Tamandua tetradactyla: one gene and its partner. The protein of the gene in region 1 binds, or shares a complex with, the protein of each later gene. Links are inferred from orthologs where the notes say so. Each region holds a gene or a part of one and is shown on either strand. Other genes may lie near its edges. The genes, in order: PPARGC1B and PPARA.

Region 1 (14,636 bases):
AGACTATCTGCCATCAGGGTCGAGAAGAAATTGGAGGGAACAGAGTCTAGTGTGGCAAAGATCCCTTTGGTACTAACTGCAGAAATCCAGTTGTGAATGGACAAGGATCTGGATCAGAAGAGGGGGAGAAGAACAGAAAGGTCAAGTCCACCAATTTTGTTCAATCCACCTGAGTCTCCATACGATGGCTGGGAGGTACATGACTACCTCGGACAAAGAGAGGTAGGAACTGAGCCTGCTCATTTCCTTCCAGATCATTTCATTGGTGATTCCCTCCCATTCACAAAACAAGAATTATGCATCCCTTTTTCTTTTTACATAAAAAAAAGTAATATGTACCAATACTAGTTTTTATTGCTCCTGCCCTTCTAAAGTGCTTCAAACAGAGAAGAATTCCATGTTTTATGAGAAGCAAGTCAATGGTCATTTTATATACATTCTATTTTTTGGTTCCCAACCTTGAGACAGGATCTGTTATTCCCATTTTATCGATGGAGAAACTGAGGACTTGAGAAGCAGAGGGACTTACGAGTTCTGTCTTCTCACTATACAATGTGCCTTAATTTACTCAAGGTGCTGGAGATACACAATGATGAACAAAAACAGAGAGTGATTCCTGTCTTAATAGAGCCTGGAGGCAAACAATATGGGACTCTCACCCACTAATCCTGGTTCTACCACTTACTCAAAGAGGGGGACTTCAGCAAGGCAGTGACTTTCCTGAAAATCCTCATCTTAAAATGGGGATAATAATAACATCGACACTTCATTGAATTTTTTTGGAATGAAACATAATAAAGCAAACAAATGGCTTAGCCAAGTGCATGCCACCCAGATGCTCAATAAATGCTGCTGCTGCTGCTGACAATGATGAAGAAGATAGCTGCTAACTCTGGGAATGCTTCTGTCATGACCTCACTTCCAAGCTCCAAGTCCCCATTTGCAAGGCCGCTTCTGACTCAAACCAGTGTTCCTTCTATTATTCCAGAGAGAGAAGGAAAAGAGTGACTCACATCCTGGCAATGGTGGAGCTTCTGGCTGGCCTGCAGCAGCTGGGAAAGGAGGCCTGGAGGTGAAGGGGAATACAAGCCCCTTGGGGCCCAGTTGCTGGGTGATTACCTTTCCTGAGTTTCATAGGCATCCATTAGCACCAGCCAGGGAGCCCCAGTGAAAGCAAAGCCCAGGGCTCCAGTGAACAGAGCCAGTAAGTCTGCCCATGCAGGCTCAAGTGATGATCCCTGGGCTCAACACAGATGAGAGATGGGCAAATGCACCTAGCAAAGGCCACATTTCAATTTGCTCCTATAGATGGTTGTAACTTGGACTTGGAAAACAAGTTGGCCCTAGCATCAAGGATTGCAGAGGCAGTGATACTACAGATCCAACAACTGAACACTGGGACTTGAAGCCATTCTCCTAATTCTCCATGTGGCAGGGACTCATCCCTTCCAGGGGCTTAAATCTAGCTTTAGAATAATGAGGAAGCTAGACACCAATCCGAAAATGGGCCAAGTTTACAAACATGGCATTTCACAGAAGAGAACCACAAATGGTCCATAATCATATGGGGAAAAGGTTCAGCATCACTAATAATCAAAGAAATGCACATTAAAACAATAGGGTGACAAAATTTATTGATGAACAGACTGATAAAAGTTTAAAACAAAAAAAATACCAAGTTATCTGGGTATGGGGAACCAGGCATTCCCATACAATGCTGATGAGTGTGTAAATTAGCAGAATCTTTCCAGAAGGCAATCCAGAAATGTGTTTACCAAATGCCTGTACAGTTCCTTTGATGGAGGAATTTCACTTCTAGGAATTTAAATGAAGGAAATAAGACATATGCACAAAGATATTCATTTCAGCATTGCTTACAATAGCAAAAAAAAGAAAAAACTGGAAACAACTTAAATGATTAACAGTAACAGACTGAAATAAATACATTTTGGTTCAAGCCTCAATGAAATACTATGTAACCATTAAGATATTAAAGGATAATATTTATTGATATGGAAAGATGTACATAACATATTGTTTGGAGGAGAAAAAAGCAAGTTACAAAACAATGAGATTTCAAGTTACAAATTAGTACACACAGAATGATTCCATTTTTGAAAGAAAGAAGCTGTAATCTGTATGAACCAATGGGAAAGAAAAAAGCCTGGTAATACATATGAAAATTAACAGTGGTAACTTTGAGGTAATATAACATTTTTAATTTTCTTCTTTACGCTTGCCAGTATTTTCTAACATTTCTATAATTAAACTTTTTAAAATACGAGGTTGGACAGATGATTTATATAAAGTTCCTGCCGACTCTGACATTTTGGGCATCTATGATTGATGCCCCAAATGACTTCAAATAACCCATATTTGGTGTGGGCTGATGGCATTGCCTTTGGAGCTTAAGTCTTTGCCCACAGCTGTGGCCCTTTGCATTCCTCTCTCTCCACACTCACTGCCCAGCTGTCTCCCCTGCCAGCCTGGGAACTGCTGCTGGGCACAGCCCAGCTGAACCCCTATCTGTAATCCAGATGCTGAGCGAAGGAACAAGGCTCAGCATGGTGACAGGTGCCATGTGGGCACCAAGAAATAAAGCACAACTAGCTCTAGAATTTCACTGGGACACAAGATTCACATAGAAAGGTCTTGATTATAACACAGGCTGAGAAGGAGAGGAAAGAGAAAGCAGGACAACTGGTCTGGAGGGCCTACTAGAGGAGAAGGCCATGCAGGATGGGTGGGTGAGGGCACTCCGGGCAAGAGGCACAGCCTGAGCAAAAGTGAAGCAAACCCAAAGTCCTTTGGGATTCATGCTCCAAACCTCTCCAAGAAACTTTCATAATCTTGTTCTGGTGAATTTCTGTACTTTGGCCTGAATGGATAAAAATGTAGTCTCCTCAACAGAAAGCTACCTCCTGACCCCAGATTAGCCAACAGTGGCAACAAAAAAGCCTTTTGGACAAAATCACTTTCCCCCCATCCCTCTCAAAGGGGCTAGCCAGAAAGACTGGAGGTGGAGGGGAGGGAGGGTCAGGGAGAGGCCACAAGAGGAAAGGAGCTTGCACAAACAGCCAGACATCTCACATGCAAACAATGCTCACCCCACCACCATGCCATTGGATTCTCCTGCTGGCACCACCAGCCCCATTTGACAGATGAAGGAAATGAGGCACAGAGAGTTAAAATGGCTTGCCCTGGGGTCACCCAGCCAGAGAGTGGGGAAGGCGACTCCACTCAGGCCTTCTGACTCCAAGTCCAGTGCTATTTCAAGGTAACACACAGGACCTGGAGTCAGGAGCCCTGGGTGGCTCTGTCACCCGCTGGCTGCATGGTCCTGTACAAGTCGTTCACCCCTGGCTGCCTCTTTCCCCAACTGTAAAATGAGGAGGCACGCGATGGCCCGCCCAGGTCTCCTTCCGGCTGGATTCTACGAGCCTTCTAAGGGCGACTGCTAAGCACGCCCTATCAATTACATTTCCCAAGTTGGGCCGGGAAAGATCATCAGAAAAGCCTCGGTCCGTCACGTGGTTAAATAAAAAAAAGCAAACGTCTCAGATCAACTTTCACTGCACTGCTTCTGCTGACACCTGATTACCCAATTTTCTTGTTTTCTTGGGTGGCATGTCCCTGCCATGTAGGCCTGCTGGAAGGCTAAGGGCAAATAATTAATTACTGGTGAGGCAAAGAGCACAGATGCAGTTAAAACCCGAGGTCAGGTCCAGCGTAGACAAGACATGCTGAGGGTCCCCAAATGAGTCTCCGGGCTATTTATAGGCTTCCCTCACCCGCCTCTTAGCGGAGAGGTATGGAAACGCCCCCAGACAAGTGCGAGAGCTGGGGACGATTCTTTTCCAGGGTCAACTCTGCCCTGCTCGCACCCGGTCCCCCTAGCCCAAGGCTGTCGACTCCGGGATGCTGGAGCTGAGACCCGCCTTCCGCGCAGACACCGGCGCCGGGCGTGTGACGGCGCCTGGTGACGGCGGCGGGAGCTCCACCGCAGTTTCGTCAGAGGTAAAGGTACGAGCCCGGCGCGCGCTGCGTTGCGCGCACACACACACACACACACACACACACACACACACACACACCCGCGCACACAGACCACTCATCACACTTCCCCCGGCCTCGCGAAGCACAGTCACACTCCGCCAGCCCTTTCGGCCCTTGCCCAGAACCCACCCGAACGGCACCCGCCACCAACCACGCGGCCCCGCGGCTCCCCGACGCAGCGGCGTCTGCAGCGGACGAGGGCTGGCCTTCCCCGGCGCGTGGCGGGCTTCCTCTCCGTGACACTCCGCGGTGCCGCGCCGTCCCAGCCGCCGGCTCGGAGTCGCCACCCGGAGTCCGCCGGAGCTGAATGTCTCGGCTGCTGCGTCCCCTCCGAGTCGTGTCTCACCACAAGGAGTCAGCTTGCAAGCCTCTCCCCGCCCACCCGGTCCCATGACAGCTGCTGCCGCCCAAAGACAGGCAGATTATAACAAGAAGCAAAGTTTCCCTCTCTCCCCTCCCACCTCCCGCCCCCACCCCCACCCCCACCCCCAGCCTTCCTCCTCCCTTCCCGTGTTATGCAAAACGGGCCGGCACCGACCCTTCCACTCCAGGTACCAAACCAGCGTCGGCGAGCCGCGCCCGGTTCCGCCCGGTGGCCCCTCTCCCAGCTAGGCGTGCGCCTGCATCCGGGGTCTCCTCAGCCTGGCCACATCCCCAGGCTCCCGGGGACCCGCAGCAGGGCGCCCGGAGAAAAAGCCCTAACTCTGGGGCTAAACTTTACACTTGCAACAGGCATGGGTGGGGGAAATGACGGAAGGGGCAGGGGGCGCGCAAGCCTTAGGCAAGCATTTTCGGCGGCTATTTGTCCCAGCAGCACCCTCCTGTCTTCAAGCCATCAGCTCCCCCGGCCCCCACTCCTCGGGCACACCAGAGCACCCTCTCCTGTCACGCGCGTGTCGCCAGTGGGGATCCCAGGCGCAGCCAGACCCCAGGATGCCGCCTCGCCTTCCCTTTCCCCTGCAGCGCCGAATGCGCACCGGGGTGGCGAGCAGCAGGGGAACCCAGAGGCCCCCAGACAGTCTTCCCGCCCCCATCCTGCCGTACTTTTCCCCTGGGGGGCTCCACTGGGTAGCGAAACCAGGAAGGCGCTATCCCCGCCCGCATGTCCACGTGCCCCGCAGACCCTGATTCCCATAGCCGGTAACCCGCAGGAAACTCCGCGCAGTGGGCGCCGCGGGGGAAACGCGGGAGGCCGGCAGCAGCACTAGGAGGTTCCGGAGGCTGGAGGAAAACGGGGCTCCCGAGAGCGCCGGAGGCGCTGGCGCCGGGGCCACAAGTCCACGTGAAAGTACGGCAGCAAATGCCGGGCGCTAAGGGCGCGCCTCCAGCGCCCAGCGCCGGCGGGAGGGTGCCCCACACCTTGGCGCGGCTCCACTCCTCCAAAGAAACACGGTACCCCCTCAGCTCTGCCCGCAGGGTCAGACTCCAAGTGGCCAAAGCTAGACCTTCCTCAGCGGCCGTGGCGCCCCCAGAGCTCAGGCACGCGTGAGCCCCCCCATTTCCCTGCCCTAGGAACGGAGCACATAGCAGGGGGCGTAGAAGAGGGTCTCTGCAGCCTGGAACCCCCGATCCCCCCAGAGCGCCCACTACTGCCTCCCGGCCTCCTCGGCTGCGGCGGCTGCGGCGGCAGCCCGGGGTAGTTCAGTTCACCCTCGTCCGTCTCCCCGGCCCCGGCGGGTCGTACCTGCGTGTCAGCTAGATAGTTGAGGAAGAAGGAGGAGAGCTCTTCGTCCAGCAGCGCGCCGCAGTCGTTCCCCGCCATCTTCCAGCCGCGGCTGCAGCGTGCGGCGGAGTCAGAGCCGAGCCGGCCGGGGGGGAGGCGGGGGAGCGAGCAAGAGAGGGAAGAGGGAGGAGAAAGCGAGGCCGGCGGGAGGCGGAAGGCGGAGCTCAGGCCCCCGGCTGCCGCAGGGCCGCGGGCTGCGGGGGCGGGGCCGCGTGGCGCCCTCATGAGCAGGGGGTCGCGCCCCCACTCTCCTGCACAGCCTCCGCCTCGGCGGCTTGCTTCCGCAGCCCCTAGGCCAGAGGAAAGCTTCAGCAGCTCGGTGTCAGTCTCCTAGCTAGCAGCCGATGCCTGCGCAACAATGCGGGCAGTCCCCGGCTCCTACCAGAGCGAATCACGTTGCCTTAGCGCTGGGCGGGCCCTTTGAGATAACCTGCTTCTGCACAGCTGGGGAAACTGAGGCTGGGGGAGGGGGAAGAGAAAGCCCGGGGCTGAGGGCCCTGAAGGCTTGAGTTTCTCTCTCCTGGCTATATGGCCAGGGAGGGAGAGAGAGATAACCATAAGTCAAGGTGGGAAAAATCAGGGAAAGATCCTTGGTGGCATTTTTTGTCTGTAACATGAAAGATGCATCGATCCATATTCTGTTAAACCTGGTCATATGTCTCTCTCATGTCGCCCCTTCCCCCTCAAAAAGAACTTTAATGACTTCTTTTTCCATTGCCCATAATACCTTAAAATGGCCCTCTCGCTGCAGTCCTTTCCAGCGACTCCCTGTACCTTCTCACGACAGGCCTGTGCACACAGAGAGCTGCCCCCTTCCCTCAGTGGATTCACGGGCTCCCTTGGCACCTCAGATCTTTCTTTTAAAACGCTCGTCGCATTGGCAATTGTGCGTTTGTTTCTATGGTGATTGGATCCGTGTTCCCCCGCCATACTAGATTGTAAGAACCATGAAAGCAGGGCCTGAATCTGCTTTTGCACTTGTTATGGTTCCACTGCCTGGTGCATAGTAGGCAATTAGGAATAATCTGTTAACTGAAAAATTAGGGTTCCCATCCCCACCCTGTGTACAAACATTGTACCGATAAGGAAACTAAATACAGAGTCAAGGAGACTGCCAAGTGAGTGCCTGAATCATAAGAACTCAGGTCTCCCAAATCCTTGAACTCTCGTCAACGTGCCCAGCAATTCGGCAGGCAAGAGATGAGGGCACCCCCGGATAAGACTGGAAGGCAAGAATGTTTGGGTCTATTTTACTGAATGGCAAGAAGATTATGGGAAGATGACATAGTAAGAAGCTCCAGGAATCAGTTCCTCCACCAAAACAACTACTCAACTGGCAGAAACTGTCTGAATCAACTACTTTGAAACCCCAGAGTCTGGGGAAGCATTGTGCCTCCTCCAACAACAAGCTGGAGAGGATGCTGGTAAATTGCTGTATATGCCAGTGAGTTTAACCCTCCTTGCATCAACTACCATCCCCCTATCCCAGCCTCCTAGCATGCAGCAGTGGTAACTGGTGCTTGGGCCAGTGGTACAGCTTGTTGGCTCCAGGGTGGAACATAGTCTTCCAAATTCCTTGGGTGTGTCATCTGATCTTTGATTAGCTACTTCAAATCTCTGGGATGTGACTCTGAGAGCGGCTATTGTTCCAGCCTCCCTGAGACAAACGCAGCAGAGAAATCTTTAAAACAGTTATGTTCCTCAAAACTGCCAAACAGTTCATTGGCTGCATTAACAAGGTAGGTGCTGAATTAAGAAAATTAAAAACATAGAAGCTCCTAGTGCCCTTGGTGGCCTTCCCCAACCCCCTCCATAAGGCATGTGTCTTCAATGTGGGTCCCTGTCTCTGTTCCAGAGGGAGCAGAGTGGCCCCTGTGAACATACTGGGGTGCATATATGTCAGTGTCAGCCTACCAGGTGGAACCCTGAGAGACTAAACTGGGGAGTATGTATCAGCTCACCATCCCAGATACAGAAAGCCACATTCAGAAAGCTAAGAAAGTGTGAAAAACAACAGGTAAATTGGCATGGCCTGGGGCAAAGGACTACCTGTATCAAGTCACTCAAGAAAGCACCCCGGAAGGGGAGGAGGCCAGTTTCAAAAGGAGTAGAGGGACATTCACTTGAACTCCTGGAAACTATAGACAGGGAATTCCTAAATCCTCTCACAAGTATAAACCCAGAAAAAGAAGCAGGCTCCCTGGCTCCGGTTCCACTCAGGCTCAGATAAGACAGAAAGGACCTGCATTTCCCATTCGCCTCAGGCTAATCTTCTTAATAGGAGCAAGAATTTCTGAAGAAAACTACCAGCCTAACCAGAGACAGTTTGAAAAGGCCTTGAAAGGTGTTTTCTAACGTGATTTGTTTGTTTCTTGAATTTTGCATTCAAGAAAATCTCTGTCATTTCACTCGCTGGATACAAACTTAAGGAACAGACTGCTCGGGGACTAAATCCTAGTTAACATTTTAAATATCAAAATGTACAATGTGGGGTGGTGCAATGGTGGCTTAATGGCAAGAATTCTCGCCTGTCAAGCTGGAGACTCTGGTTTGATTCCCAGAGTCTGCCATGCCAAAAAAAAACCTAAAAGAAAAGGTGTACAATGTAACAAAAGATTACAAGACTGAAAATACTGACCAATCCAAAGGAACAAGATAAAAATCTAGAAACCATCAATCATGAAGACAGAACTTTACATTGACCAGACAGAGATGTAAAAATAATTACCTTAAATATGCTCAAGAAGAGAAAGGAAAACAGGGAGAAAGAACTAAAGGATGTGAGGAAAATCATGAATGAACAATTTGGGACTCTCCCCAGAGAAATAATGGAATTGAAGAACACAGTAACTGAAATGAAAAATTCCGTAGAGGGTTTTAACAGCAGATTGGGGGTGGCAGAATAAAGCATCGGTGATTTTGAATTCAAGACACTAAATGATTCAGGCTGACAAGCATAAAGAAAAAAGGATAAAAATGAACAGAACCTAAGAGAACTGTGGGGCACCATCAAGCATACTAATACACACATTTGAGAGTTCCAGATGGACAAGAAAGAAAACTATGGTCAACCAGTAATTTTATATCCAAAAAGACTTTTTTTCAAAACTGAGGGAGAGATTAAGACATTCCCAGATAAACAAAAGCTGAGGGAGTTCATTTCTACTAGATCTGCCCTACAAGCAATTCTAAAGGGAAATGTTCAGACTGAAAGAGAAGTACAGTAGACAGAAAGAATAAAGGCCTGGTAAAGTAACCATATGGGTAATTATGAATGCCAACAATATTGTGTTGTGTTGTGCATTATGTAACTCCACTTTTTTCCCATATTAAAATGCAAGTGCATAAAAAGTATTGATAAATCAATGGTTTTGGACATATGATATACAAAGATATAATTTATAACAAGTAAAAAAACCAGAGGGGTAGATGAATAGTGTAGATGTATGCTATTGAAGATAAATTGGTATCAAATCAAATATGATTATTATATAATTAGGAGGTTGTTTTCATTTCCATTGCTGCAAAAGCAAATATCATGCAAAGGGAGGAGGAAACAATGGGAATTTATTGGTTCACAGTTTTGAGGCCAGAAAATGTCCATGTAAAAGTATGGACACTAAAACTATGGTGTTCTGGGGACTGACTGCTGGTGATCCTTGATCCTGAGCCACATGACAACGCACATGTTGGTCTCTGCTGTCCTCTTATTTCTCTCCAGTTTCCATTGAATTCCAGCTTCTTACTTCCCATGGCTTTATCTGTCTGAATCTCATTCTGTTTATAAAAGACTCCAGTAATGTGATTAAGACCTATCCTGATTGAGGTAGGCCACATGTTTAAGAAGTAACCTCATCAAAATGTCCTACCTACAATGGACTCACACACATAGGAATGGATTAAGTTTAAGGACATATTTTCTGGAGTACCTACGGCTCCATACCTATTAAAATGTAACAAATGTTAAATTTTAGCCCCATTGTAACCACAAAGAAAACACATGAAAAATATATTCAAAAAAGAAGTGAGAAAGAACTCAAAATGGTGCAATACAAAAATATATAGAGAGAGAAGTAGGCATTAATAGAAGAATTGAGAATCAGAAAAGATATAAGACTTATAAAGGCAAACTAGCAATGTGACTAAAAAAAAAAGTACTGCATTATCAGGAGTTCTTTAAATATAAATGAGCTGAACTCTCCAATCAAAAAGGAGAGATTGATAGAATGGATTTAAAAAAAAAACAGTATGACCCAACTATATACTGTGTACAAAAAGACTCACCCTAAATTCAAAGACATAAGTAGGTTGAAATGAAAAAAATGAGAAATAATATGTCATGCAGGTAGTAACCAAAGGAGAGCTGGATAACAAAACTAAAATCAGATAGAATACACTTTAAGTCAAAAACTGTTACAACTGGCAAAGGTGGGTCATTATATACTGATAAAGGGGTCAATTTAACAAGAAGTCATAAAAATTATAAATATGAATGCACTCAACAACAGAGCCCAAATATATGGAGCAAATATTGACAGATTTGATAGGAGAAATGGACAGTTCTACATTAGTGCTGGGAGATTTCAATAATGGATAGAACATCTAGACAGAAGATCAGTAAAAAAAAAAAAAAAAAAAAAAAAACAGAAGAATTGAATGATACTCTAAATCAGCTAGACCAAGCAGACATATATGGAACACTTTACCCAATAGCAGCAGAATACATGTTCTTCTCTAATGCACATGGATCATTCTCCAGGATGGGCCATATGTTGTCACAAAACAAGTTTCAATCAATTCAAAATATTAAAATCATACCATGTATCTCTAAATGTATCTCTAATCATACCATGATCTCTAATCACAATGGAAAGAAACTAGAAATCAATAACAGAGAGAGAAATGGGAAATTCACAAATAAGTGAAAATTAAGCAACATACTCTTTAACAACCAATGGATCAAAGGAAAAATCACAAGGGAAATTAGGAAATATCTTTAGGCAAATGAAAATGAAAACACATTGTACCAAAACCCATGGGATGCAGCAAAGCACTGCTGAGTCAGAAACTTACAATTCTAAGTGCTTACTTTAAAAAGAAGAAATATCTCAAATCAGAGACTTTGCCTCAAAACTAGAGGATGCAGAAAAAGAAGAACAAACAATCCAAAACAAGGAGAAGGAAGGAAATAATAAGGATTAGAGCAGAGCTAAAATGAAATAGATATTTTTTTTAAAAAATAGAGTATCATCAAAACCAAATGTTGGTTCTTTGAAAAGATCAATATAATCAACAAACTTTAGCTAAACTAACAAAGAAAAAAAAGGACAAAAATGACTAAAATCAGTAAGGAATGGAAGAACATTATTGCCAATGCCAAAGAACTGAAAAAGACTATAAAAGGATAATATGAACTACTGTATGCCATCAATTGGAAAACCTAAATGAAATGGACAAATTCCTAGAAACACACAAACTATCTACACTGATTGAAGAAGAAACAAAAGATCTCAACAAATCAATAACTGATTTGAATCAGTCATCAAAAACCTCACAACAAAAATGTACAGAACCAGATGGATTCACAGGTGAACTTTACCAAATCTTCCAAGTAGAATTAACACTATCCTGCTCAAATTCCTTGAAAACAATTGAATAGGAGGGAACGCTTCCTAATTCATTCTATGAGAGCAATATCACCCTCACGTGAAAGCCAGATAAAGATAAACAAGAGAAAAAAAAAACTACAGACCAACATCCCTTATAATATAAATGTAAAAATCCTCAGCGAAATACTAGCAAACCAAATCCAATAATATATCTAAAGAATTATACATCATGATCAAGAGATATTTATCCCATTTATACAAGGGTGGTTCAACATAAGAAAACCAGTATATATTTAATACACTACATTAACAGAATAAAGGGGGGAAAACAACACGTGATGATCTCAATTTAATGCAGAATAAGCAGTTGACAAAATCCAGCTCTCCTTATTGATAAAAACACTTTAAAAACTAGCAATAGAAAGAAACTTCCTCAACATGATAAAGGACATATGTACTGGTTTGAAACTGTTATGTATCCCAGAAAAACCATGTTCTTTGAATCTTAATCCAGTTGTCCTGGGGTAGCATGTTCTTTTAATCCTGAACCAATATTGTAGAATGAGACCTCTTGATTAGGTTGTTATCATGGAGATATGATACACCCAATTGTGGGTGTGACCTTTTGATTAGATGGCGTTTGGTTTGCTAACGCTGCCAGTAGTGGAATGGCTTTTTAAACAGATTTTATTATGTTATAAGTTTACAGTTCTAAGGCCAGAAAAATTTTGAAACTAAGGTATCCAGAGAAAGGTACCTTGACTCAAGAAAGGCTGATGCCAAAGGGAACACCTCTCTCATCTGGGAAGGCACATGGCAACATCTGCTAATTTCAGGCTTCTGAATCAAAGAACTTCCCCAGGGTTGATTTCCTTCTGCATCTCCAAAGCTCTCATGTCTAAGTCAGCACTAAAGCTTTTTTCAAAATGGTTCCCCTTTAAAGGACTCGAGTAAGCAACCCCACCTTGAATGGGTGAAAACATATCTCCATGGAGACAACTTAATCACAAAGATCCCACCCAGCAATATTGAATCAGGATTAAATAACATGGCTTTTCTGGGATACGCAACAGTTTTAAACCAGCACAGATGGAGATGTGACTCCACCTATTCAAGGTGGGTCTTGTTTAGTTTACTGTAGTCCTTCAAAATCTGACAGACACAGACTTTTAGAGATGCCTGGAGTTCTGACGGAGATACTTAGAGAAGCCGTATGAAACTAGGACACAGACTCTTGAAGAGAAAAAATCTCTGGCTCTGGGAGATGCTAAGCTGAGAGATGAAACCCAGAGTTTTGCTCCAGAACAGCCAAATGAGGTCCACAAATGCTTAAAGAAGAAGCCACTGGAATCAGAAGCTGGAAGCAAAAGAACCAGAAGCAATGACTTCAGACACCAGCCATGTGCCTTCCCAAGTGACAGCCATTGACCTTTCTTCAGAGTCAAGGTGTCTTTTTGTGGCTGTTTTAGTTTGGACATTTTTATGGACTTAGAATTGTAAACTTATAACATAATAAATCCCCTTTATAAAAGCCAACCCTTTTCTGATATAATGTATTCTGATAGTGTTAGTAAACTGAAATAGCTTACATGGAAAATCTACAACAAATCATACCCAATGTTGAAAGATTGGAAGCTTCCCCTCTAAGATCAGGAATAAGAAAAGGATGACCACTGTTATTCAACATTGTACTGGAAGTTCTAGCTAGAGTAATTAAGCAAGAGCAAAAAAAAAAAAAGCATCCAAATTGGAAAGGAAGAAGTGAAACTTTCCTTATTTGCAGATGACATGAGCTTATATACAGAAAATCCTGAAAAATCCACAACAAAGCTGCTGGACTTAATAAACAAATTCAGCAAAGTGTCAGGGTACAAGATCAACATCCCAAAATCAGTAGTGTTTCTATTCACTAGTAATGAATAATCAAAAGAAATCAAGTAGAAAAAATCCACTTATGATAGCAACTAAAAGAATAAAATTTCTAGGAGTAAAATCAACCAAAGATCCAAAGAACTTGTTATCTGAAAATAAGACTTTGCAGAAAGAAATTGAAGAAGACTTAAGTAAATGGAAGGACTTACCATGTTCATGGAATACAAGATAAAATCTTTTTAATATTTCAGTTCTACCCAAAATGATTTATAGATTCAACACAATCCCGATCAAAATTCCAATAGCCTTCTTTTCAGAAATGAAAAAGCCTATTGTCAAATTTATATGGAAGGACAAGGGACCCTGAATAGCCAAAACCATCTTGAAAAATAATGAAGTAGGAGTCTTCACACAATTTTAAAATTTGTTATAAAACTACAGTAATAAAAACAACATGGTATGGAACAAGGACAGACATATACACCAATTGAATTGAATTGAGAATTCAAAAATCACCCCTCACATTTATGGCCAACTGATTTTTGGCAAGAGTGCCAAGTCCACTCAACTGAGAAAGAATAGTCTCTTCAACAAATAGTGCTGGGAAAACTGGATATTCACATGCAAAAGAGTAAGGGTGGACTCCTATCTCATGCCATATACAAAAATCACTCAAAATGGATCAAAGGCCTAACTATAGAAACCAGAACAGGCCTAAATATAGGAACCAGAACTATAAAACCCTTGGAAGAAAACATAGATAAGCACCTTCAGGAACCTGTATTAAGCAATGGTTTCTTAGACCTTACACCCACAGCACAAGGAACAAATACAACAACAGATAAATGGGACCTCATCAAAATTAAAATCTTTTGTGCATCAGAGGAGTTTATCATGAAAGTAAAAAGATAATCAACTTAATGGGAGGCAATATTTGGAAACCACACAATAAGGGCTTACTATCCAGGATATGTAACGATATCCTACAACACAACAATAAAAAGCCAACCAAATTTTTAAATGGGCAGAAGACTTGAAGAGACATTTCTTCAAAGAAAATATACAAATGACCAAAAAAGCTCATGAAAAGATGCTCAACATCACCTATGAGGGAAATACGAATCAAAACCAAAATGAGATAACATTTCACAGTCACTAGAATGTCTACTATCAAAAAAATGGAAAACTGCAAGTTTTAAAGAAGATGCAGAGAAATAGGAATGCTCATTCATTGTTGGTGGGAATGTAAAATGGTGCAGACATTTTGATGGCTTCTCACAAAGTTAAGTATAGAATTATTGTACAACCCAGCAATCCTGTTTCTACAAATATACCCAAAAGATTTGAAAGCAGGGATCGAACAGATATTTGCACAA
Region 2 (15,209 bases), on another chromosome or scaffold:
TTCTAATTTTCAATTGCTCTCTTATCTTTTGGAGGCTTCACTCTGGGAGAGACTGTCCTAGGCCTGCTAGCATAACTGGACATTTCTCTTTCTGAAACAGCTTCTGGAAAGTGACTTCTAAGGAGCAAGTCCACGTGGAAACCATTCATTCTGCTAAAGTTAACTGGGCACTGCCTAGCAACTGTGCTCTTTCATGTTTCTTAGTCCTCAGACTCTGCCATGGGTAGATCTGCTTCCCTGGCTATACAACTCCCCACCCCATCTCGCTGGACTCTTATTTCTCTTCTTTTAGTCTTGTGCCTCTATTAGCATTACCAGATTATCAGCTGTCCTTGAATGTGGTTAAATATTCACCTTCATTTAGACTTCTGACCTAGACACTAAAAGCTAACTTTGTTAGGTTCATCTAAGTAAAGAGAATGGGACAGGGAAAGAAAGAAAAGAAGCCTATAAATTTTTTGGTTTCCAGGGTGAAAGAAAAGCACCATATTTCTCTCTTCTTCTATTGCTATTCTGCTAAGTACTCTTTATACCCCAGATTCACACACAAAGCCTGGGACTTTGAAAGAATCGCTACTGCTCTTATTGTAAAGCTCTCCACTTAAAGCCCTTTCCTGTCAACCTCCCCAGGAACTTCTTTCAGATAAACACACCATCGCACTTAACCTCGTTTCCTATCATTTCGCTGGCAGTTACAAGCTTTGGTTTCCAGGCTGTCCTAGCAGAGGGACAGCAGTCCTTGGTTTACCATTTGTGATGAGTTCTCCAACTCCACTTCTTTTAGAACCTGTGCCCTTTGCCCCCTGCCTCCTTTGCAGGACTAGAACCATTGCCATACCCTCTTCCCTGGGTAAGTAGAATCCATCTCCTATTTGAACAAACACTCAGGCATCAACATCTCCACCCCCATGTTCTTTTGTCATCACTTGTCACACACGTTCTCTCTGCCGTGTTGGCACTAGCCTTTTTCTCTCAAGGAACATCAGCTTCAAATGCATTTCAATACCCCATAACCTGTCCCTGCTCCATGACCCTTACTGAATCTCTCACCATCAGTATTTTTGCACAACTGAACTTTTTTTTTTTTGTACCGACCTGCCTTTCTCAGGACTCTTCATTCACTGTAAAGGGTTAGGTTTCTTTTTAAGATTTGAAAACTATAGCCATAGAATGTCTTTCTTTCTGGAAAGTGCTCTGGAATAAAAAGGGGGGGAGTTTTTCTAAGGAAAGAAAAGAACAAAGGTTGTCTTCTGAACTTTCCTGCACTTTTGACTGCTTGTTCGTGAATCATCAGGAGACCTGCAGGGGTCAAAGTTCCCTGGCCTAGAGCTGGTGACAGATTCTGTAATGTTTTGCAAAAGCCGGGGGGGGGGGGGTAGGGGGGCAACAGTCATAATACTAAGGAAAACAATCCCTTCAGGGATCTTGAAATCCCAGGGCACCAAAACACCTCCAATACTGCCCTGCTGGATACCATATCCAAGACAGGTCCACTTCACATACCAAGACAGGTCCACCTCAACCAAACTGCAAGTTCCGCGGGATGATTTTTCTTCTAAATGGCATTCACGTCATCCCGTCCCCAATGCACAGAGAGGAAAACAGAAACGGAAAAAGTGGGACAGTGAATAAATAAGAAACGAACCCAGTTATCAGCTGTCTCACAAAAGCAGCTAAAATGAGTCTGTAGTTTAGAATTTTATCATATTTACCCCAAATCCTACCTAGACAGGGATACTATTTTCCTTATGCTGCTGGCCTAGGAAATGCCAACTTGTTCGATAAGGGAAGCCGCCTGAAAATGCCTCTAATGAATGTTCGGTGAAAACCATTCCATTCAATACATAGGAAACAGAAGAAAACTTGATTTCAGATGATCAAGACTTGATTGTCATTCAATTCTGCAATATTATATTTTACAAGCCATGCTCTTTAGTTGTAAATATGCATTTAAACACTCACCAAAGGCAGACCACTAACTTCTTAAGATGTTTCTGAAAGAGACATATCTATTTGCTGCTCTTTAAATAAGTGGGTTGTTTTCACTGTATCTTGCTGATTTGTCATCTCAGTGTGGTGAACACATAACCACAGACTAATTCCGTTACAAATGGGGCTACATGGACTCTTAAAAATGGGAAAAAAAAAAAAAAGGAACTATATCGTTTACTCGGCTATGTTATCATTCCGGGTCACTTGTATAACACTTCATTAACTTTGAGACAGTCATTCCATATTTGCTTCCCTAATCCTCACTATTCAAAATAATACCCTTTCAATGGTTTACTTGTGATCTCCAAGATAAAACTGTAACACATGCAATTCTTAATAGAAATGGTCACATCTTTTATTTGCAAACCCCTTCAAGCAGAACAAAATAGAAGAATCACATGAATTCTGCATCCTGTAGCATGGAAGACATCTTATCAGTGTTTCCTCTAATTTCTCCTGTGCATATCTTATCTCCACTACGGGAGCACAAGTAAGTGACCAGTTAAATACACACATTCCCCAACTCACAGTGTTTCAAATGCATCCCTTCCCATCTAAGTCAGTGGTTTGGGATTTGAATTCATGCTCTCACAGAAAGAAACAGCATTTTAATTTGTTAGATTCTTAGGCCATCTCCTAAAAAGCCAATTTAACGCATCACATACCCCAAACCTTGCGACAAATTACTAACAGAACCATTTCAACTGCAACCGCCACCTTTATACCACCTTTGGGTTGGGAACTACATATGTAAACCCAGCATGGTGTGGGGCACCCTGTCTGGAACTAGCAGAAGGATGGGCTCTGCCATCCCAGGTAAGAGGGCAGCTGTAAAAATGTCCAGGGGAATCCTGCAGCCATGGTCCATGGCCTGTCCTTCTGTAGGGGACAGTGAGTCCTTACCCATTTTAGAGCACTGCAGAAGACACAGAGACCCACAAATAAATACTGGTCGAACTAAATTATATTAATCATTTACTTATTCAATGAACATTGACTGGAACTAGGCATAAAGCACCAGCAGGGCAGAAATGAGTATGAACTAATCTTTGCCCACAGATTGTCAGACTTAGTGGGAACAATTAGACAAACAGCCAATGGCAAGCAAGGCAGCACCCAAACAGCTCAAGAGAGTCCTGTCCCAGGGCAGATGAGAGAGCAGGTTCAAACGCAGAGAGTCCAGCAAGAGTACACCACGGCCGCATTTCTGCAGATTGCCCAAGGACGAGGATGATGCTTTGTATAATTGAGATAGATCTGAGCATGGACGAACGTAAAGACGTAGTGCTACCAAAACCTGAAGTCACCTCTACGTTCAACAAAAACAGACACCAAGCATGTTGGTTCTGACTGATGTACGATTCTTGTATATCTACTTAAAAATGAAAAAAACAAATTGTTATGTTTGGAGGTGGGGTAGGTGTTTCTTTCCAAAAGCCTTTGAAAAATCAGAAAATGGTCAGAGCAAAAACAACTCAGGTATCAGATAGGCTAAGCGAGAGAGGCAGGTAGCCCGCAGTGGGCCTTCTCCCTCTTTCAGACCTCTCCCGGGAGGCGCGCAGATAAGCCACCACATTTGAGCCTCACTCAAAATCACTCAGAGAGGAGTTCCATTTTCTGGTGAGAACATGGCAGTTTGGGGAGGTGGACAAAGGTCCCAAGGCCTGGGAGGTGGCAGCTAAAGACTAGAATCCAAATCCGGTGAATGATCACCACCTTTTCCACTATAGCAAGCTGCTTCCCTCACGCAAACCAAAATTTCCAAATATTTTTTCTTTTACTCCACTCTGGCCTTAAATGCAACTTTTAACCACAAAAATAATTATAATAGGGTGGACTTAGTAAGGTGTAAGTTCTTTACTCTTTGAAGCACATACGGTCTTCCAAGACACCACTTCCTCAATACACTACGTAATTAAATACTCCAGAAGATAAGGAATGAACACACCTCCAGGTAATGAGCACATGAGGCTCGGCTACCTGATATCTGTTACCTGGAGGACAGGTGGACAGTGCACCCACCTAGTACCCCTTTCCACAAGAAGCTCAAGCACCAGATGTATCCAGAAGAAGAAACATGTTCTTTTAAATACGGCTCACTCGGACACTTAGGATTTTTCCCCGTTTGCTTCTTGACTTAAAACTACCTGCAACAACATGCTGTAAACTAAATGTCTTCACTAATTCTCCCTGATTACATCGATTCTTTTATGTAACTAATGAGGCTGGGGCAGTAGAAATATCCAATCTCTTTCCTACAAACAGAAAGTCTGCCTCTCTCTGAAATGCCTCGGGAATGTTTACAAAACCGACTGTACACCACATCACCAAAACCAGAAGTACAAACAGAGCCCCTCAAAGTCCAACAAAGCAAAGTACACAGGACACATCCTCAGGCTGCTGCAACCAGAGGAGTGCAGACAGTAAAATGAAAACACCAGCCACTGAGAAGTCAGGCCAACCTATTCAGTCTTAGGAATATATTCATTCACACACAGAAAACAAAACCTGGGAGAGGAAAAGGGAGAAGAGGACTGGGGAGTTTAAAATCTGTTTACAAGTTTTGCAAACATGAGCTGGTAAAAATAATTATTTTATGACTTTGGAATTTCCCCCATTATACATTTAAGATGCGAGAAAAGAGAGAGACAGAAACAACTTAATTTTTGCCTACCATCCGTGATTTTATTTTTGTTTCCAAGTTGTATAGAATCTTGCCAGGCCCCCTGTCTCCTGGAGAAGGTGAAGTGGTCTGGCCTTTCCTGAATGTGACCTCACAAATCTGTACCATTTGGCCGACTTCTTTAGCTATCCCTGCACTGGCTGATGGAAATTCTAGAACTGATCCACTATCTCCATAAGCCATTTGCTTGGTATTCAAATTAAATTAAAACAGCTAAGACAGCATACTGCTCCTCGGTGGTCAGTGCCTATTAAGGAATAACTTTTCTCAAAGTTGTACTGTCTAAATTTAAATTACATGCGCCTGGTCTGCCACGAAGATATGAAGACCTTGGTGAAACTCACGTAATAACTCAGAACTTACAAAATGAATAGCTCCAAATGGATCTGAGTTTAAAAGTACTGAAAATGCCCTCAACATTGCATCAGTGTCACAACTAACAGCAAAAACGCTGGTCCCTTGGGCAACAGCAGTAAATCCTTCAAGACTGGGGCCTGGAAACACGTGTGAATCAAATCTTCTCTTTACCTGTGAGGAAACCTGCTTGGCTCCGATCTTCTGGTCACCCGGACTGCAGGGCCTTTCGCCTCAGCCTTGGCAGCAGGAAAGGAAAGGAGGAAACGATCACGACCGTTCCCTGGACACCCTCGTCAGCTCGCCACCACCTTGGAAGAGGAAAGTCACCCTGACCCTGCTTCTCACAACGACAACGGTTGCACGGGGTCAGTGCCGGGAGAGCCCTTTGCCCCACCTACCCGCCCAGCTCCCCCGCGCCCCATTTCCCGGGCAGCCTGGGAGGGGGCGGGTGCGGTGGGGTGGGGACGTGCTGTCCCAATGTTCCCATCTCACCCTTGTACCTCTTTTAGAAAGAGTGCCATTTGGGGCACTACCCCCGCCCCCCTTGAACGGGGAGCGCAGCTCTCAGGGTTAGACGTGGGTGGGCGTGGGCGCAAGGCCCGCTGTCAACTTCCTCCAGAGCCACCACGCGCCCCTCCGCTTCCTCGGCGCCTCACGGGCCAAGTGCGGGGGATCGAGAACACCTGGGCGCCTGGGCGCACCCCGACCCGGCCGGATGGCACCCGGCACCCCCAGAACGCGCCCGGTCCGCGGCAGGACACGGCGCCTCAGAGGGGGCTCGGCGGCCGCGCCACCGTCGGGCCGCAGCTGCGGGGCGCACCTGCCCCGTGCGTCGCTCCGCCAGGTCCTCGCGGTCACCCCGCCTCGGAGATCCCTCGGGGTCTCTGGAAACGCCCCCCAAGTCCGTGACGCCCCAACTTGCCCGCGCCGAGCGCAGGGCTCGACTTGCAGAAGCTCAAGTCCCACCTCGTGGGCCTTCCCCGCCGGGAGCGACCTCCACGCCGCCCCCGCCCCACCGACAGTCACCGACGCCGCGGCCGCGGGCCGGGCCGGGGCGCTCCGAGAGAGGCCAGGCAGGGGGCGGCCCCCTGCGCCCGCGGGGTCCCCCCGCTCGAGCCCTCGCGCATGCGCTCCCGCCAGCCCCGCCCCGGCCGGTCACGGCCCTGGGGCCCCGGACTGGGGAGGCCTGGCCCACCCGCCCGCGCCGGGCACCTGGGGCCGCGTCGCTCCCCGCCGCCTGCCGGGCCGCCCTGCGCAGCGCACCCAGGGAGGCGGCGCCCGTCAGGGCTCTAGCGGCCGCCTCCCCGCCTCTCACCCCGGGCCCCCGGGCGGGACACACCCCCGGCCGGCGGCGCCCGATTGGCTGCTGGGAGCTGGGCGGGCCCGCGGACGCCCCTGGGAGCTCCCCGCCGCTCCCACCCTGCGCCCCGCGGCCACTCGGGGGAAACTGAGGCCGGAGAGGCCCAGAGGCTGCCGCGGCGTGCGGGCGGGCTCGGGCCCGCGCCCCCGGGAGGGGCCGAGGTTGTGGCGGCGGAGCCGGGGGTGGGAGCCCCGCCGGGCGCCGGTGCCACGTTGGTGGGGCCTTCCTCTCCGCTAGCCCGGCTTCACCCGTCGGGTCTCGGGAACCGGGGGCGGGCAAGGAAGGCCTTCGTCCCCGGGTCCCCAAGATGCAAAAGGCGGAGAAGGGGCAGCGCCGCGCCACCGGGTGGCGGAGTTGCCAGGGCACGGGATGCGGCGGGCGGGAGCACAAAAAGGGTGAAGGGCAGCGCGGGCGCCACGACCAGCCCCCATCCCTCCCTCCCTGGCGGCCTGCGAGCCGGGTGCCCCTTCCCTGGTGCTGCCAATGGCGAGAAGAAGGGGCCGAGAGAGTTCAAGGCGGCTCTGTGCCCTGACACCCAGCTCCCTGCACGGAATGCACGAGGCCACGAGGTGCCAACGTCCCAGGGTGCCCCTCCTTTGGGAACGAAATGTGTGCTATGCCAGCCCTCTCCCTGCCCTCCCGCTGTTCTATTTGTGGCAACAAACGCCAGGAGGACCAGCTCGGGGGGGGGGGGGGGGGGGGGGGGGGAAGGCAGGGAGGGGAGGCCAGGCCAAACCTGGCCTTTCCGCAGGCTTCTTTTCAATTTCCCCCGGTTGGTTAGCACTGCACCGGGGTGAACTTTGCCCCAGCCCCCAGACACCCACACACCCTTCCCACTCACTGAGCAACAAGCCCAGCTTTTATTGCCCACGCAGCTAGCAGTAGCCTTATGTGTCAGAGTTTGCAAAGTGATCAGTGCACGTCCTATCATGGGTGTCCCATAAGTTGAACAGGTAGTGGCATTCTTTCTTTATTCAGCAACTAGTCACCAGCACTGACCAGGGGCAGTCCTGGGCTAGGCATCACAGCTCGAGCTGAAAAGGAAGCTGACCAACGGTGGCTGCCCAGACAGACTTGTGGGCTCCACACTACTAAGACGTTGCCTGACATACCCCAGATCCCAGACTCCCAAATACCCTGAGTCCAGAACCGTGGGTGCTGGCTTTCTTTTACCAGAGGCATCATGATGGTTCCCCAAAAAAAACCCACCCAGTTCAGCAAGATGGTTGGAAATACCTGGCAAAGGTTGTGACGAACAAGGACAAAGGAAGCTGTGTAGGGTCCAACAGAGCCTTCGTACGTGCTTGACAGACAGAAGAATGATATTCTTAGGTTCTTGAGGGGGCTCCCAGGGTTTAGGGGAGAAACGTCTGTTTTTTTCTTGTGAACAAATGCTTTGTCAGCTTCCCCAGGTCGTTCTGAAGCCCTTGTCATTAAAAAGAAGCTCAGAACTTTTCTACCAGTGTGATCCTGGCCAGAGATGGTTCTACCTCTGTCTTTCTGGAGGAAGGTGGGTTTCTTTGGGGAAATCCCTCTCAGCAAGAAAGACGAAAACAGCCTCTGTTTGCCATGAAGACCTTGTCACATAGCTGGTGTATTGACCAAGGTTTCCCAGACAAATAGGATGCATGCATGTGTGTATGTGTGTGTGTGCATGTGTGCATGTGTGTGTGCGTGAGAGAAATAGAAAGATTGATTTTTTAAGAATTGGTGATCACGGGAGCTGGCAAGTCCAAAATCTACAGGACAAGTCAGCAGGCTGGAAATTCCTCTACGAGCAGACTTTGCATCTCGATGTAAATCTGTAGGGCGGGCAGACTGGAGTCAAAGGTGAAGGTCCCATCTCGAGGCAGGATTCCTTCTTCTCTGGGAAACCTTGGCTCTTGTTTCCAAGGCCTTCAGCTAATTCAGTGGGGTCCCCCACATTATCGAGGGATGTCTTCTTTACCTGAAGTCAACTGATTGTAGTTGCCGACCCCATCCCCAAAGCCCCTTCGCAGTAGCACCTAGCCCTGTGTTAGACCAAGCAAGTGGTCCCCGTTGCCAGGTGGACACATAAAATGAACCATCGGGCCAGCATGGGGGGAACCGTCCTGGGGAATGCTCCCTCCCCCCAAGCTCCAGGAAGTCTCTCCATCCCCCCTCCCTCCTTCAGCACTGGGGTGGGGTGGGGGGACACAAGTGGAAAGAGACAGCCTCCTGTGCAGGGCCTGAGCAGAAACCTGTAACTCTGGAGTCAAATCAATGGGAACAGTCCCTGTGCATACCCGAGTTTCCGCTTTGGAAAGACAGGGTCCTAGTAGGCACTTGGGGTCTTGGGCACTCATGTCTTGGTCCCCTTAGGGTATGGCTTACATTATTTGGTGCCAGTGCTTTTCAGGTCCCTTTTCACAAGTTGTATAATCGGGAAGATGTTCCCGAGAAGTCAGTTATTGTTCCCACACTGCTATGGAAACTGAGGCACAGAGAGGTCCTAGGTGCACCAAGTCCCATAGGCGGAATTGCAGGGCCCAGGTCAGAAGGTGGGTCTGCGCAACTCCAGAGCCCACCCCTGCTCTGCTGAGCCTTGCCGGGACCCCCAACCCCACCAGGCAGTGAGACTCCCATGCCCTGGCTTCTGGGAGAGAATCGGGAAGCTGTGGGCATCCAGAGACCTGGAGCAGGGGTCTGCCCCTTGGTACCAGGCAGCAAGGATGTCACCCTCTAATTCAGAGAGAAGGTGTGACCCTGCCCTGCCGTGGGTCTGGGCAGTGGCCTGGGCCATGTGGCCTGGAGTCAGTTTGTTTGCCTGTAGCTTAGGTAAGCCCTTTACCGGGAACCATCCAAGGCCTCCGTGGGTCATTGGTTGCCCTTTGCTGATCTACAAAGCCCTCCTGATGAGTTGGTGTTTGTGCTTCCGGGTGTCATCAGCCAGGGCAGAGGCCTCTGACCCCTTGGGCACGTGCTCTCAGGGCAGGTAGCAGAAGTCCACCAGGCAGGGACAGCGGGCTGAGTGAGGGAGAGTCTGTGGACCCAGTGGGCCCTGGCTCGACCCTGGCAGGGACCACCAGAAACATGTGCTTGCCCATCCTCCTGGTAACGATGGCAAAACCCTCGTGGGTCCAGGTGGCGAAGTCTTGTCCTCAGCACTCTCAACAGCCCCACAGGCCAGCAGCTGGCCTCCATGTCACAGGAGCAGTAGCACCTGACCCGGGGCACCAGGAAGGAGCTGGAGGCATGGCGCTCAGAGGCCAAACCCATCGTACCGTATGCCACCCTTGGGGTACATGCAGGACCCCACTGCCTGGACCACAGCCAGAGGCTAGTGCTCTCCAGCCTGACACCTCAGCCGGCCTGAGAGCCAGAGGTGCACCCCATAACTGTGTCCCTGGGCCTTATCTGGCTCCTGCATGGGAGGGGGATTGCTCAAGGCCAGTCCTGTCCCCCCTGCTCTAATCGGCCTGCAGCAGCCTGCACTGAAGTCTGCTCATTCAAGGGATGAGGGAATGCACATGCTCCAAGGGGACCAGAGCTGGGCTGGGACCTGGCCAGGCAGGGCCTTGTGGCCTGGTGAGGAGTTGAGGTTTTGTTCTAAGGGTGATGGGAAGCCCTTAGAGGATTTTAAACACCAGATTACAAACAAGTAAAAACAGTGATAGATGTTAACCCTTCTTAACATGTTGGGTAAAGCCACATGCTCATTCTGGGCAGCTGGTTTGCAGGATCTGGAACCTTCTACAGGCTCAGCGACTACTGATGTCATAAGGACTCAACCCCTTTGTTATATCATTCACCTGTCCCCGTTTAGAGTGGACAGAGGTTGGGTGCCCATGTCTGACGTCATTGAAAAGCTAAAGGCAGCCCACCTGCATGACGCTGCCCCCCCACCTGTGTCCACTCTGGTGGACCCTGTCTTGTCAGCACGTGCATTTCCATCTCCAGCTGGCTGCCACCCTTTGGAATCATGGGTGTCTTTTACCCAGTTCAGAGCAGGTGCTTGGAGCTTCAGGACCTGTGGGACCTGTTCTTGCCATGGGAGTCCTGCTGGAGAGCCAGAAAGGGGAAGAGGGGGGACAAAGGATACTGTTCTGTGTGGAAATGGAGTTTGCAACCATCTGACCCAAACTGAGTTCGTAACACTGCTCCCCACTTGTGTGGGTTTGAAAGAATTATGTTCCCTAGAAAAGCCATGTTTTAATCCTGAGCCATCTGGAGACAGCTGTTCAGTACTACAGGTGTGTCATATTCCAGACTGAGGGCTCTGCCTCCTCCAGGAGGGCACCTCCTCCAGGAAGCCTCTCTGGGACACACCCCACCAGCAAAAAACCACCCTCTTCTCTGTGTTGCTACCAACTCCTGCTTTTATCTGGAGCGAGAGTCTTTACAAGGCCTATTTCCACCGCTCAGAGCAGCCACCACTGACTGGGCCCTCACACCTAGGACACCTGGCCAAGTGCAGCTCTCTCATTTCCTGCCTTGTCATCTGCCTCTTACAGAAAATCCTCCCAGCCAGGCTTGGGGGGATGAACGTGAGACTGGCCCGGCCTACAGGGCCCTCGGCCCCAGCCTCTGCTGCGAGCTCCATGAGAACAGGGCACCTTCTGTGGCTCTCATCCCAGGTGCCGAGCTCTGCCTCTGGAACATGCAAGGCTCCACAAATGCAGCCGAATGAATGGAGAGGAGGTCAGCATCACAGGCCTTAGGTTTTGCTAAGAGAAGGTACAGGATGTAAAGGGACAAGCCATCGCCGGCAAAGCTTTCCTGGTCTGCAGCAAAATGAGAAAAAAATCAAGGACATTGTGGGGCATTTCCTATAAAGCATTGTCTCATCAATTTTAAGAAATACCTTTTTCTTGCCCTGAGATTATGTCCTTTGCATTCTTTTGTTGTTGTTGCTGAAAATACCTTTTCTTAATAAAAATGTCTTATGTGAAGCGCCAAGAGTAGGCGATAGGAGTTGGCAGCCCCCAGAGCTGTTAAGACTTCACTGGTTTGCAAAAGCCCCAAGTTCAGGAACGCTTGCCCCAGAGGAGCCCTTGGTACTCAAGAGCGCACAGCATGTCACAAAGTCTTCGTGAAACTCTCCTGAGCTCAGTCTCCAACCTTTTCATGCCTTAGCTCAGCTCTCAACTCCAGTTTTATTTGTGCTATTTATTTTCAAGTCAACACATCAGCCAGTGTTGAGACTTGCAGAGTGGAATTTAAAATGACACATGAGCCCCTGATTTTGATCTTCCACCAAGTGAGGCTGTGGGATGTGGGCGGCTGCCTCGGGAGCTGCAGGGATTTACCCACATGTGTCCTGGCACATACACCATCGGTGCCCTCCTCGGGCCCAGCCCAGCCTAGGGAAGAGCTTTGTCTCTGCCCAGGAGCCTCGAGGTATGCAGAGGAAAAAGCAAGCCAAAGCTGAATTCCACATGGTACGCGAAGGCCATCCAGTTCTTAAAATGGTGGCTGTGGCCTAGTGTTGGTGAAGGACATGGGACTGGCACCCTGGCGGGCAGGGCTCCTGAATGGCTGGTTGGGAAGGCCGACGAGGGGCTGTACACCCACCACTTCACTTCTCCAGGAATCAGCATTAGATTCACTCAAACCATCTCGGTAAGTATCAGTCCTGAGTTCAATTAACAAAACAAAGCACTAACACTAGTAGGTGCCAAGGACTGAGCTGACATTTTCTAAGGTAACCCCATTTCACGGCCCACTGACCCCAATGCTGATGTCATCTGGGGGAGCAAGGCGGCCTCTGGGCTCTTAGGGAGTTGCCAGGTATTTTCCCAGCACCCCTTGGTTCCTTGACTCACCTGGACCTTGGGGTGCACTGTGGGCTGGGCAGATGCCCCCCTTGTCTGTTAACTGATCTCAGCTCAGAGGCCCTCCTCCTGGAAGCCTCCCCTGAACAGCCTGTGGCTGCCCCACCCCAGCTAGGTGAGATGCCTGCCCTCACTGCCCTCTAAAATCCCAGGCAAATCTCAGTCTCTGCTCTTATCATATTTTTCTAGTGGGATCTGATGGTTTCCTGCCTCTCTCATCAGACAGGAGGGTCTCCATCCAGCGCAGGGACTCTTTCTTCCCAAGGCTATGGCCACAGCACCTGATAGACTCACAGGAAAAATTGAGTAACTTACCAGAACTAACTGAAACTGACCTCAGTTAGCTCTCCTGCTGCAAAAGGGCGACAGCCCCATTCTCCCAAACCTTGGAGCAGGAGAGGGCCCCGGGAGGCCAGGGATGGAGCTGCAGAGGAGACTGGAAGTAGCACAGGGAGGGCCTGGGAAGGCAGACTAAGGAGCAGAGACACTATCCTTCAGACAGTGGGGAGCCAAGGAAGGTGCTTCAGCAGTAGTAGGCTCAGACTCAAGGGACTTGTTTCACCTGCACAGAGCTGGAGGATGGAGCAGGGATGGTGTCCTGGGGAGTGGTTCCACAAGGAGCACTGCAACATTGCTATGAAGGTGGCCAAAGTGGAAGGTGGTCTTGCACGAATCTAAAGAGAGAAACTTGAGTAAAAACTAAAAAACACCCCTTGCAGGAAAAAAAAAACAAAACAAAGAAAGAAAGACAAAAAAAAAAAAAAAAAACGCACCCCATTGCCTGTTTTTTCAGAAATGGAAAAGTCAATCTTCAAATTCATATGGCATTGCAAGGGGCTCTAAATAGCAAGAAGAATGTTGAAAAAAGAGCAAAGTTGAAGAACTCACATTTCCTGATTTCAAAATTTAGTACATAGCCATAAGAATCAAAACAGTGTGGATCCAGCCTCAGCTAAACAACTGGACCAATGGACTAGAATTGAGAGCCCAGAGATAACCCCCCACATCTATGGCTAATTGATTTTTGACAAGAGAACCAAGGCCATTCAATGGGGAAAGAACAGCCTCTTCAACAGCCAGGGGAAGTGGCTGTAAATAAATCCGTTTCTATATACCTGGTTCAGGAACAGGAAGCCAGCTTCTCCCAGCACCTTGCACAAGAAGGGTGACTTACCGCTACTGAGAAGCAATGTGAAGGAGAGCCACTTGAGCCAGCCGTGGAAACCTCCCGCATGCTTCTTCCCACCCCGCCTGCAGTGGACGCAGCCTCTGGGCCCTCTACCCCTCCAGCCACTTGCACGCCTGCTGCCTCCCTTGAGCCCCAGAACTTGCCGCCGGGCAGCACGCGGTCCTCCCTCTGTGAATTCCTGGATGAAGGATGAGCCGTAGCTGGGGCTGGCCACTAAGTGTGTGCTCCAGCTCTTGCCAGCTCTTGGGTTATGGTTTGAAATGATATTGACAAGAGACAAAGGCTGTGCAGGTTTCTGTTGGTCTCCCTGTGGCTCTCAGCACCTGGCTTCCTTTTAGGCTTGGTTGTCTTTAACGGTGTATGTCTTGGGACCCTTGGAAAGGTATTTGTGGGGGTTGCACGAAGCCAATGATGGCGCTTCCTTTTTCTAGAGAGAGAGGATTTATATGTGTCCCTACATCTGCCAGCCCAAGATTGCCTGAAACCAGGGTCAGGGCTTGAGGTTCCCCGGGGCCTGGCAGGGCAGATGAACTGGGGTCCCATTTCTGCAGGGGCCTCGACTCCTTGTGGCTGAGTTCAGTTTTTTCCCTTTTATTTTGTCTCCTTTCCCTTTTGGAGCTGAGGCAAATCTTCCTTCCTGATGGGGGAGGGGGCAGTAAGCGGGGGCTGGGAAGAGTGGTCAGGGTTACCCCTGCCTCTATACCCTTCCATGAGGTGCAGTCTTTTGGGGGCCCCGGCTTAACATGGAGAAGAGCCCCCTATTAGACTCCTCGCATCTTACCTTCCATGCACGGCCCACCTCCCCAAAGTCGTAGCCAATGGACAGATGCCCTGAGTGCAGCAACTGGCTCTGGTGTTCCTCTCTGGGTTCCCCTAGAACACGGCCTGGGGGAATCCTCATTATTTCGACAACTCTTTGATGTTTTTAAGGTAAACTTTAGAAAATCAGAAGTGATTTTTTGCCCCTAATTTTTACTTGTTGCCAGAGATGCAGTTGGTCCAACCCTCCCAGCCTGCCTTTGCTGAAACGGTTATTTCAACCAGCTACAGAATTGATTTTTTCACGTGCTTCATTTGAACTTGAAGCAGCTCGAGGAGTGGCCTTTCCGTAGGCTCAGTATCCCCCTCCCACACCTGGACAGGGATTTCTGAGCCTGTCCCTTAGAGGCACTGCTGATCCAAAGGAAAGCAGAGGGTGCAGGCATGCCTACTCCCCCCTTGCTCGGCTGCTAGGGGGAACGTGCGCCCATGGCGGGCAGGTTCTCTATCTGCAGGGCGTCCACACAACCTGCTCCCAGGCTGTGAACACGGAGTCCAAGTGCCGCTGAGCAGTTGCCGCGAGCCGCATACCTGGGGCGCGGCAGGCCTGGGCCCAATGCCCGGTCAGACTGGCTCACATGCCTTCAGTTTTTCCGCTGTGGCCACTGTTTCCCTCCCCAGCTCCGTGACCTTGGACCAGCCACAGGCATCCTGCGCTTGTTCCCTGACTGTGAAGTGAGAGGCTGGCCTAGCTGACCTCAGAGGTCCCCTCCCGCTCGGGAGCCTGCGTGTTGCACGAAGGAGCGGTTTGTCCCTACCAGCCGGGATAGCCATCACATGATTGTCCCGGGAGGAATGCTTGCAGGGCATGATGGTCAGCGTCTCGTGCTCGGGGCTTTGGAAATGCTTTCACCACCAGCACCCATGCCTGCATTTGGCCTGGGGGCCCAGATGGTGGCTCTATGGCAATCAGCTCCCTTTTTCGTCCAGAACCTAACCAGCCAAATCTGGTCAGCTGAAAGTCACCCTGCTCTGCCTTCCACAGACACCAGCAGCTGCCGGTCAGAGTTGCAG

Evidence for each region.
Region 2: the proteins of PPARGC1B (region 1) and PPARA are in contact, whole or in part, in a crystal structure (PDB 3SP6), measured with the Homo sapiens proteins. The link is inferred for Tamandua tetradactyla from reciprocal best matches to the Homo sapiens genes PPARGC1B and PPARA. Residues at the interface, in NP_573570.3 of Homo sapiens: Ser154, Leu155, Leu156, Gln157, Leu159, Leu160, Leu161, Thr163; in NP_001001928.1 of Homo sapiens: Val284, Thr285, Thr288, Glu289, Lys292, Phe297, Leu302, Asn303, Gln305, Val306, Leu309, Pro458, Leu459, Glu462, Ile463.

The regions. Positions count from the first base shown.
Region 1 is NC_135346.1:30,476,294-30,490,929, reverse strand, and holds the start of PPARGC1B (peroxisome proliferator-activated receptor gamma coactivator 1-beta), read right to left. Parts: upstream 5,860-14,636; 5' UTR 5,819-5,859; coding exon 5,741-5,818; intron 1-5,740. UniProt on the Homo sapiens protein: Plays a role of stimulator of transcription factors and nuclear receptors activities. Activates transcriptional activity of estrogen receptor alpha, nuclear respiratory factor 1 (NRF1) and glucocorticoid receptor in the presence of glucocorticoids.
Region 2 is NC_135333.1:40,681,431-40,696,639, reverse strand, and holds the start of PPARA (peroxisome proliferator-activated receptor alpha), read right to left. Parts: upstream 6,288-15,209; 5' UTR 6,245-6,287; intron 6,099-6,244; exon of another isoform or gene 5,999-6,098; intron 5,974-5,998; exon of another isoform or gene 5,853-5,973; intron 5,734-5,852; exon of another isoform or gene 5,533-5,733; intron 5,483-5,532; exon of another isoform or gene 5,341-5,482; 5' UTR 5,204-5,340; intron 1-5,203. UniProt on the Homo sapiens protein: Ligand-activated transcription factor. Key regulator of lipid metabolism. Activated by the endogenous ligand 1-palmitoyl-2-oleoyl-sn-glycerol-3-phosphocholine (16:0/18:1-GPC). Activated by oleylethanolamide, a naturally occurring lipid that regulates satiety.